2 linked regions of the Caenorhabditis elegans genome follow. The protein of the gene in region 1 purifies or fractionates together with the protein of each later gene. This does not show direct contact. Each region holds a gene or a part of one and is shown on either strand. Other genes may lie near its edges.

Region 1 (3,756 bases):
TAGGTAGACTTCAACCCATGTCTTGCGCGCTCGTAACCTCAGAAGATGTCTGGATAAAAATCATTCCAAAATAGGCATAGGCCGCCTCCCAGGCTGAGTGTTCATGGGTGCTTGTAGGCATACAGGTAGACTTATAACGCTTGCGCGACAAACTCAGAGAGTTGCTTGGCTACGTTTTAAATTTTCCAGTTTCGAATAACTTTAAATATACCCCCCCCCCCCCCCCAGTTATGAGCTGCCAAGCTTGAACGATACCACACTGTAAAAAAGAAAAGCTGGGAGAAAGGGGCGCCTTCCATGACACCTTCGCCTAGAATTAGGTCTAAGTTTAGATCTAGTCCCCTTTTTTCTAAACTTCTTCTTCAGTTCCTAGTGTCTAGTTTACAGGTAATCTCTTAATTTCATCTGATTTTGTCTTCCAACTAAACTTTTGATTTCTGCCACGCCAGATTTTTGGAATGGCGTCAGCTGCTTCAAAATACTAAAAAAATCTAATCGAAGATCAAGATAATCCGAAAAATCAAATACAACCTTGGCAATAGTACAAGTGTCTGGCCGCTGTGGAAAACAATCATTTTCACTGTTTTCTTAACAAGAAATGCCATTTGCGGCAAATATTCATCCAATTAACAAATTACACGGGGTCTCTCATGCATCTAAGTGCGGTTTATTACAAGTATATGGGGAATCCACTCTGTGGATATAACCGTCTAGAATGTTCCACACATCTAGTTTTCAATTGTGTTGTTGACTTAAAAACTTTGGCATCTACTTTCAGGGTTTTGTATTAAACTAAAGTACTTTGAAGGCATTTTCCAGTTCTTCTAGTCGCTTTAAAGATTAGTATTTGGAAAAATTGAAGAATTCTAGCCTAGCAGTTCACACCTATAATTAACTATTTTTCTCACAAGGGCTTTACAGTTTTGGCTAGATTCTCAGTTTTCAAAGACTACCCCTCAATTCTGTTCCCTCTCCGGAATTCTCACTTTCACAGATTTGTTTTCTCATCCAAACGGACTGTGATTATGTATGCATTTCCTTCTTCTTCTTTTCTTTTCCTCAATGTTTTTCGGCTTTACCTTCCCCTTCTCACATGCCAAAACAGTGTGTTTATATCTCGAGATTCCTGGGAGGGAAAACTGCGTTTCCCATGTGTCGATTCTAATTGATTTGTTAGCCGTTTGATGCGCTTTTTGTGAACACAAAAAGCACGGTGTTTCCGCCCTTTTGTTCGAGATTTGTGACCAAAGCTAGCGCGGCTTATATGGACGTTTGGACTGTTATAGGCTACGGTTTCGGATTTCAATCTCCTTGAACCTATTTATCTCTTGATTTTTTTGTTTTTTTATTGTTTGTTTTGTTTTTGAAAATACTAGGAACTTGCAGTTAATAGAATGTGAATTAAGTTTAGATAATTACTTTTGCGTTGAAATTTTTCTAAAATAAACTCAAATAAAAAACAAGAGTCAGTTTGTCAAATTGAAGTTTATGAGCTAATAAATGTAAAAACCTCCATTATGCTGCACTTGTTGTAGTTATTTCAATTTACAGCTAGGTAGGTCTACTTCCTAGAGCCCAACTTCCAACTGAGCATTTGGCTTGAAAAATATGCTACTGGAAAACTAAAAACTTCCCCGTCAGTAAATTTCAAGAGACTAGAGTTTCCAAGAGCCTAGTAAAAGACTAGTGGAAATATGGAAGTTTACCTCTGAAAATCTGATTTAAACAATGAAATTTTTAGCTTTCCACCAATCAACTGAATTTCTGTTTGTTGCCGTGCAACGCTCTTTAGGGTTTTAATAAAATTAGTACCGTTTTTTTAACTTTCAAAAGTCGGAATTTGGATTTTGCAGAAATATTTTAAAACTTAATTCACAAGGTTGGCTTTTTTTAGTAAGAAATCTACAGGCTGTCAATAACCATTTCCTCGTTTTTGAAGTTTCAATTTCTCTCTATTTTCTACACCACTTCTCTCTACTTTTTACTCTAATTTTCTTCTCATTTCAATAATTTTCAGAAATGTTACACAGGCCGAAACTTACAGTAATCCTATCAGTATTACTCACCTTCCGGTTAGCGGATTGCTGGTTCCTCTCAATGGTGCGTTTTCATGGATATTCAATTTAGAACAAAATTATTTCAGCTCGGTGGTGGTGCTGGTGGTTGCCAAAATCAATGTCCGCCAGCTTACTCTGGGTATTATCAATCTCGGAATTATAATCCTCCGCAACAGGTAATCTGACGATAAAGATTTGGAAGGTGCAAAAACTAATGAGTAGACATTTTTCTGATAAGAATAGAAAATGAGCTGGTGATAAAGCTCCTGGCAAACTCTCACGCCTCCTACTTTCAGTCCAATGAGCATTGTGAGAAACTTGAAGAAAATTCGAAGAAAAAATAATTCAGAAATAGAAATTGATATGGTGACTGATTTTCAGAGTATTAGAGTGGGAATTCATTTGGCTGATAACTCAACCAATTTTTTGTTGAATCTTAGAATGGCCTTGGCAAATCTAAATTTGTAAAGCCTAAAACTTTTCAGCGATTCAACTACGGTTTGCCTCCTCCAACACCGCCTGCAAATTCATATGCAACTGCTCCAGCAAACTATGCGGCTCCTTCAAACGCCTACCCATTTGCTCCTCAATACTCAATTCCAATGAACTCATATGCTATGCCAAAATACGCAGTTGCTCCCCAATATGCAATGGTTCCATATCCAACCCCTCCAGCTTACGTTAGACCTCCACCGGTTTATGTCACACCTCCACCTGTATATATAACCCCACCACCAACTACAACTACTACAATTCCACCACCAAAATGTTTCCAAAACACTCAGGGATACAAATGTTGCAATCGACAGTTGGATCAATTTTTAGAACAGAAAGTTGGAGAGATGTTGAAGCCAGAATGGCAGAGATGTAATCTGCAACGATTTGCAACACAGCTTCAGGTTTGGTTCAGGGTCATTTTATTGATTTGCATATTAGGAGAGAAGTTGGGTGGGGTCGTTCTCAAGGTTCGGAGATTGAACTGCGAATTGAGGGGACTAGGTATAAGTTTAGATCATTTGAAACAGGATAAATTGAAGTGTTTTCAAAAAACTTAATTTTTTAGCCGTTTCTTTTGAAACAGTTGTCAAGTGCTCTACATAAAAAAATCTAAATGTTTTCAGCACGAAACGCAACAAATGTTCAATCATTCAATGGAAGCAATCGTTGCCAGTGGAGAAGTACAAAATCTTTCAAATTACCGCGGAGACCTTTATTGCAAAAAGCGGAGTCGAGACGGAAAGGTATTATTCACATATCTACTTATCGAATCAAAATCTAAATTTCAGATTGTTGTGATATATGGCTCAGCAGTTCCATATTCTCTAGATACCGGAGTGACTCGTCCAATGAACGATGACGAGTTGAGAACTCAAATGTATCCGGCTAAGTATGATGAAATTGGAGTGCATGATGGACATGAAGAGAACATTTGGTTCTAGGAATATTTATTTGAATTAATTCTTGTTTTTAATTATTTCGAAGTAGCCTATTTATAATTGTTGAAATCTTTTTTAAATATTTCCAAAAATTTCCAAATTTCCATCTCCAAAATTGATCTTGAATTTATTCTCCAGCCAATTCTTTTTCATCTTTTATTTTTTTTCAGCTTTTTATTATTTTAACTTTATACTTTGAATTAATAATTATATATTTCTTTTTTTCATATTGTTCTATGCTCACTTGTATATAAAAGGAAATA
Region 2 (3,756 bases), on another chromosome or scaffold:
TTCTGAATAAAGAATATCGTTTATCTAACTCTATTCCAGTTCATCATACCGCGATTGCTTCAATCAGCTTCTTCTTGTTCTCGTCGCAAAGTCCAGTGATGTGACGATCGTATACACGCCCAGAGAATGTGGAAACAAATTGCTGAAAAAAAGAATTGGATTTTACCGAGCTCCAGTTTAAAACATTTCGTACCTGCAAAAGTCTCGAATTTTTGTAATCGAGTTCAACACCAGTTGAGCACAAGAGGCACTTCCGTGGCTCTTTTGTGTATGGATTATTCTCCAAAATTACGGGCTCATCGTCAGAGCTAACCGAAGGAGATCCCTGCGTGGTTGAACTGGAGCTACATAACCTGAATGTCTGCGGCCTTATGAAACTTCGCACCAACGATGACGCCGATTTTAGCATTCTGAATTGATACTGTTGGATTGCATTGATAAATTTAAAAATGAGATATCTTAAGGTTTAGAACCTGATACACTGATAGTGTTTCAAATGCATAAAGCTGAAGTCTTTATGACATGGCAACAAATACCGGAAAGCGATTAGTCAAAAATGCAAAAAAAAGAACCGTAAAGCCGTAAAGCGAAATAAATTATGAAAATACAGTTTTTACAATCATTTATAAATCTAATTCTAATCTTTCTTCTGTCTACCCATCGATAGTCGAACCAGGATCGTTTTCTTGGCCATATCACTTTCATCAAACATCAACCACAACATCGCAACTGCCGCCTGAAGTTAATTTTTTATTAGAAAGAATGAATTAACATGGGACTTACGAAGACAAGGGAGAATCCCACAAACATCATAATGGCCGCACTTGCCGGATAATCGATATATCTAGCTTGAGTCACTTGCAATACTTTTTGTAACAGCTTAATTCTAGCCTTCTCATCTCTATCAGGCTTCTCGTGAGTATAGATTTCAGCCACCACATTCCCGCCATAACTGTTCTTGATAGCATCTTGTAATGTATCAATACCTCGCTTGATATTTTCTGCCAATTGTTTTCTTTCCATATCTGTTCGCGCATTGGAGACGTCAAGGTGAACACGGTAGTAGTCAACAACATTGGCATTTTTTCGATCTTTCTCCATGATTGCATCCGAAAGTCGATACATATTTTGAAGATCCTCCTTATAAGTATCGTAATTAGCATGGTTTCCCTCAGTATTTCTTTTAAACAACGATGATCCAAATATTCCAGAGGAGTTTACTTCGGCGTGAATCATATCATCACCAAACTGTTGTTTGAAATGTTCTTGAATTTGATTTGGCTGGAATTTATCCGTAAAATTGAAAGCATGTCCGTCATAATCAAAGTTTTCCAGTCCGTCAATAACGATTATCAACAACGCCTTCGGTTTTTGGAACAATTTTTCATCGCCGATCGCCTGATGAGCTGAAATAAGGCAATAAAACATTTTATATTAATAAAATGTTACCTACCTCCAACTGCAGCACCAAGTCCAAAAGCATTCTTGTTGAAATTTAATAATGAAACTGAATCGAAAGACGAATTTCTCGAATCAAGTATGTGGTCGTTTGGCAAAATGATTTGAAGACGCCCGGCAAGGCAAACTGAAATTGAAGTTTTTTGCAAAAAATAAATAAGAAATTACCTTGTAAAAATGATAAAATCCATATAAAACTTCGCATTTTTGGCTTGAAAAGAAGCAAAAATGAGAAATAAAAAACTCACAATTTTTCTGTAACAATGGAGCGCGTTTGCTTTTCTCGTTGAGACACCACAAACCAAGAGAACTTGAAACTCCGTGGAAGTTGATTTCATCAGCATTGGTTACTGTATTTTTTTGCCAAAACTTTTATTGATAAAGTTTTCATCTATGTATACAAAAATATTAAAGGCAGATATTTATTGGGTTTTGAAGAAAACTGTCAAATTTTTTGGTTCCGCGCGCAGAAATGATAATGAAATTGAATTTTGAAGTATATTTTTGCTTAAAAAATTAATACATATCTTTTTTTAATTTTATTCACTGATTGTGATAAAAATAACTTGTAGCAATGAATATTTTCCTTCAAAACGAACATGCAATAAATTTCCTTCACTTGCTTGTTGATAAAAAGGGTGGGTCAATCCAATATGATAGGGTTATCTTCTCAGTTTGTTCCGGTACAAATTGTTATCCAATCAAACTATATTGTCTGTTGAACCTATTGCACAATTGATGCGGCTATTGAAAAGGTGACTTTTTGAAAAAAATTGAATTAAACGGAGGGAAGTAAAATCTTAGATAAATATAAGGATGAATACCTTTTAGTTTCCTTATTAAGAATTACCAGTTTTATAGTTCAAGGCTATTCGATTTACTGGTAACTACCAATTTGATAGATAGATAAAAGATGAGAAGATTCAAAACTATTTCCTCGATTCTAAATATTACAAATAGATTTATGAAAAATGTAACTTTAAACAAGGAATAATGCCTTCACAAATAGGAAAATGAGAGCAATTTTTTATTTTTTCCAGAATTCAAAAACGGTAATTGTTTAGTTTGTTTTCTGCAATGCGAAGGTATCCATTTAAACAAATTACCATCTGTAAATATGACTGTACTTTTCTCGATCAAACAACAAAAAAAAACAATTTTAACAAACAAAAATAAATATTTGAATACTAATTTATAACCCTCAAGAACCCTCAACTTTTGAAGATCAAAAAAAGAAAGTGTGAGACCCAAGTGGATGTAAATGTTTTGAAATGAATGAAATGTTTGGATTCTTTCCAATGTCTGCTCTGGTTCTTCATTCTTTCTCTTTTCATTTCCATCTGTCATCCATTCTTTTCCGTTTTCTCCAAAATGTGCTCCAAATACTCCAGGACCTTCTTCTTCTTATTACTCACAATGCTTGTTTGTACAATTGTGATCTTTTCAATGGCACCTAGAATAACAATGAGTTTTTGGACTTCAAAGGAAACTAATATATTATGGAGACGCAAAGAGACAGCTCATTTGGATTGTGGAAGAATTTTGGCAAATGATAGAGTTAGTAATTTTAAATATTTAAATGTTTAAAAAATAACCCAAAAACATAAAATTTCAGTCTTATATCGAAAAGTTTATTGGTGAGCATCGAATACCCCTGAGCTCAAATTTGGAGAGTTTAGATATGTCATGTTATTCAATTCAAAATCGAATTATTCCATTCAATTTTCATTTGAGGCCGTTGAAAATTGGTGTTGTATTTGCACGAGTTGTCTATAAAGACTATGAATTTTTGGAGAAACAAGTACAAATGTCATATCATCCACAGAATATATTTTGCTTTTTCATTGATTCAAAAAGCAAAGATGATTTTAAATGGAGAATTAGGAGACTTGGTAGATGTCTTCCAAATGTATTTGTAATAGATGGTATACTGATTGAATATATGTATAATTTAAATTAACTAGAGTTTCAGAAGAACTTCGAATAGATTCAGCGGGTCATAATATGAATTTAGCACACTACAAATGCATGGAGAAGATGGTAAAATTACCGGATTGGGATTATTTTATACTGATGCAAGTGGGGAAAACTTTTATTAATAATTGTAAAAATGCAATGTTTTTAGAATCATGACGTCGTTGGAAAATCAGTTTATGAAATATCTAGAATATTTGAGATTCTTGATGGTGCCAACGATATTGATATTGACAAGGAATTCGGGAGAATAGATGAAAGTTTGAAGTGGGATTTGAAAACGTTGAGATTATTTCGAGATGGTTTGTTTTACAGGAGTCTCTA

Evidence for each region. The genes of interacting proteins can lie anywhere in the genome.
Region 2: the proteins of F02D8.1 (region 1) and T14B4.3 fractionate together in Caenorhabditis elegans (co-fractionation; one large-scale study listed by BioGRID). This does not show direct contact.

Annotation. Positions count from the first base shown.
Region 1 is NC_003283.11:14,976,488-14,980,243, forward strand, and holds the start of F02D8.1 (uncharacterized protein), read right to left. Parts: upstream 2,144-3,756; 5' UTR 2,101-2,143; coding exon of another isoform or gene 2,020-2,100; exon of another isoform or gene 2,018-2,019; intron 304-2,017; exon of another isoform or gene 282-303; intron 1-281. Other genes in the region: grd-12 (Ground-like domain-containing protein), read left to right, coding at 2,020-2,100, 2,144-2,233, 2,543-2,956, 3,179-3,298, 3,344-3,496.
Region 2 is NC_003280.10:6,732,857-6,736,612, reverse strand, and holds T14B4.3 (VWFA domain-containing protein), read right to left. Parts: upstream 1,677-3,756; 5' UTR 1,664-1,676; coding exon 1,627-1,663; intron 1,586-1,626; coding exon 1,454-1,585; intron 1,407-1,453; coding exon 784-1,406; intron 737-783; coding exon 638-736; 3' UTR 503-637; downstream 1-502. Other genes in the region: mrps-18.C (28S ribosomal protein S18c, mitochondrial), read right to left, coding at 1-2, 50-142, 194-409; T14B4.9 (Core-2/I-Branching enzyme), read left to right, coding at 2,830-3,015, 3,074-3,383, 3,431-3,537, 3,584-3,734.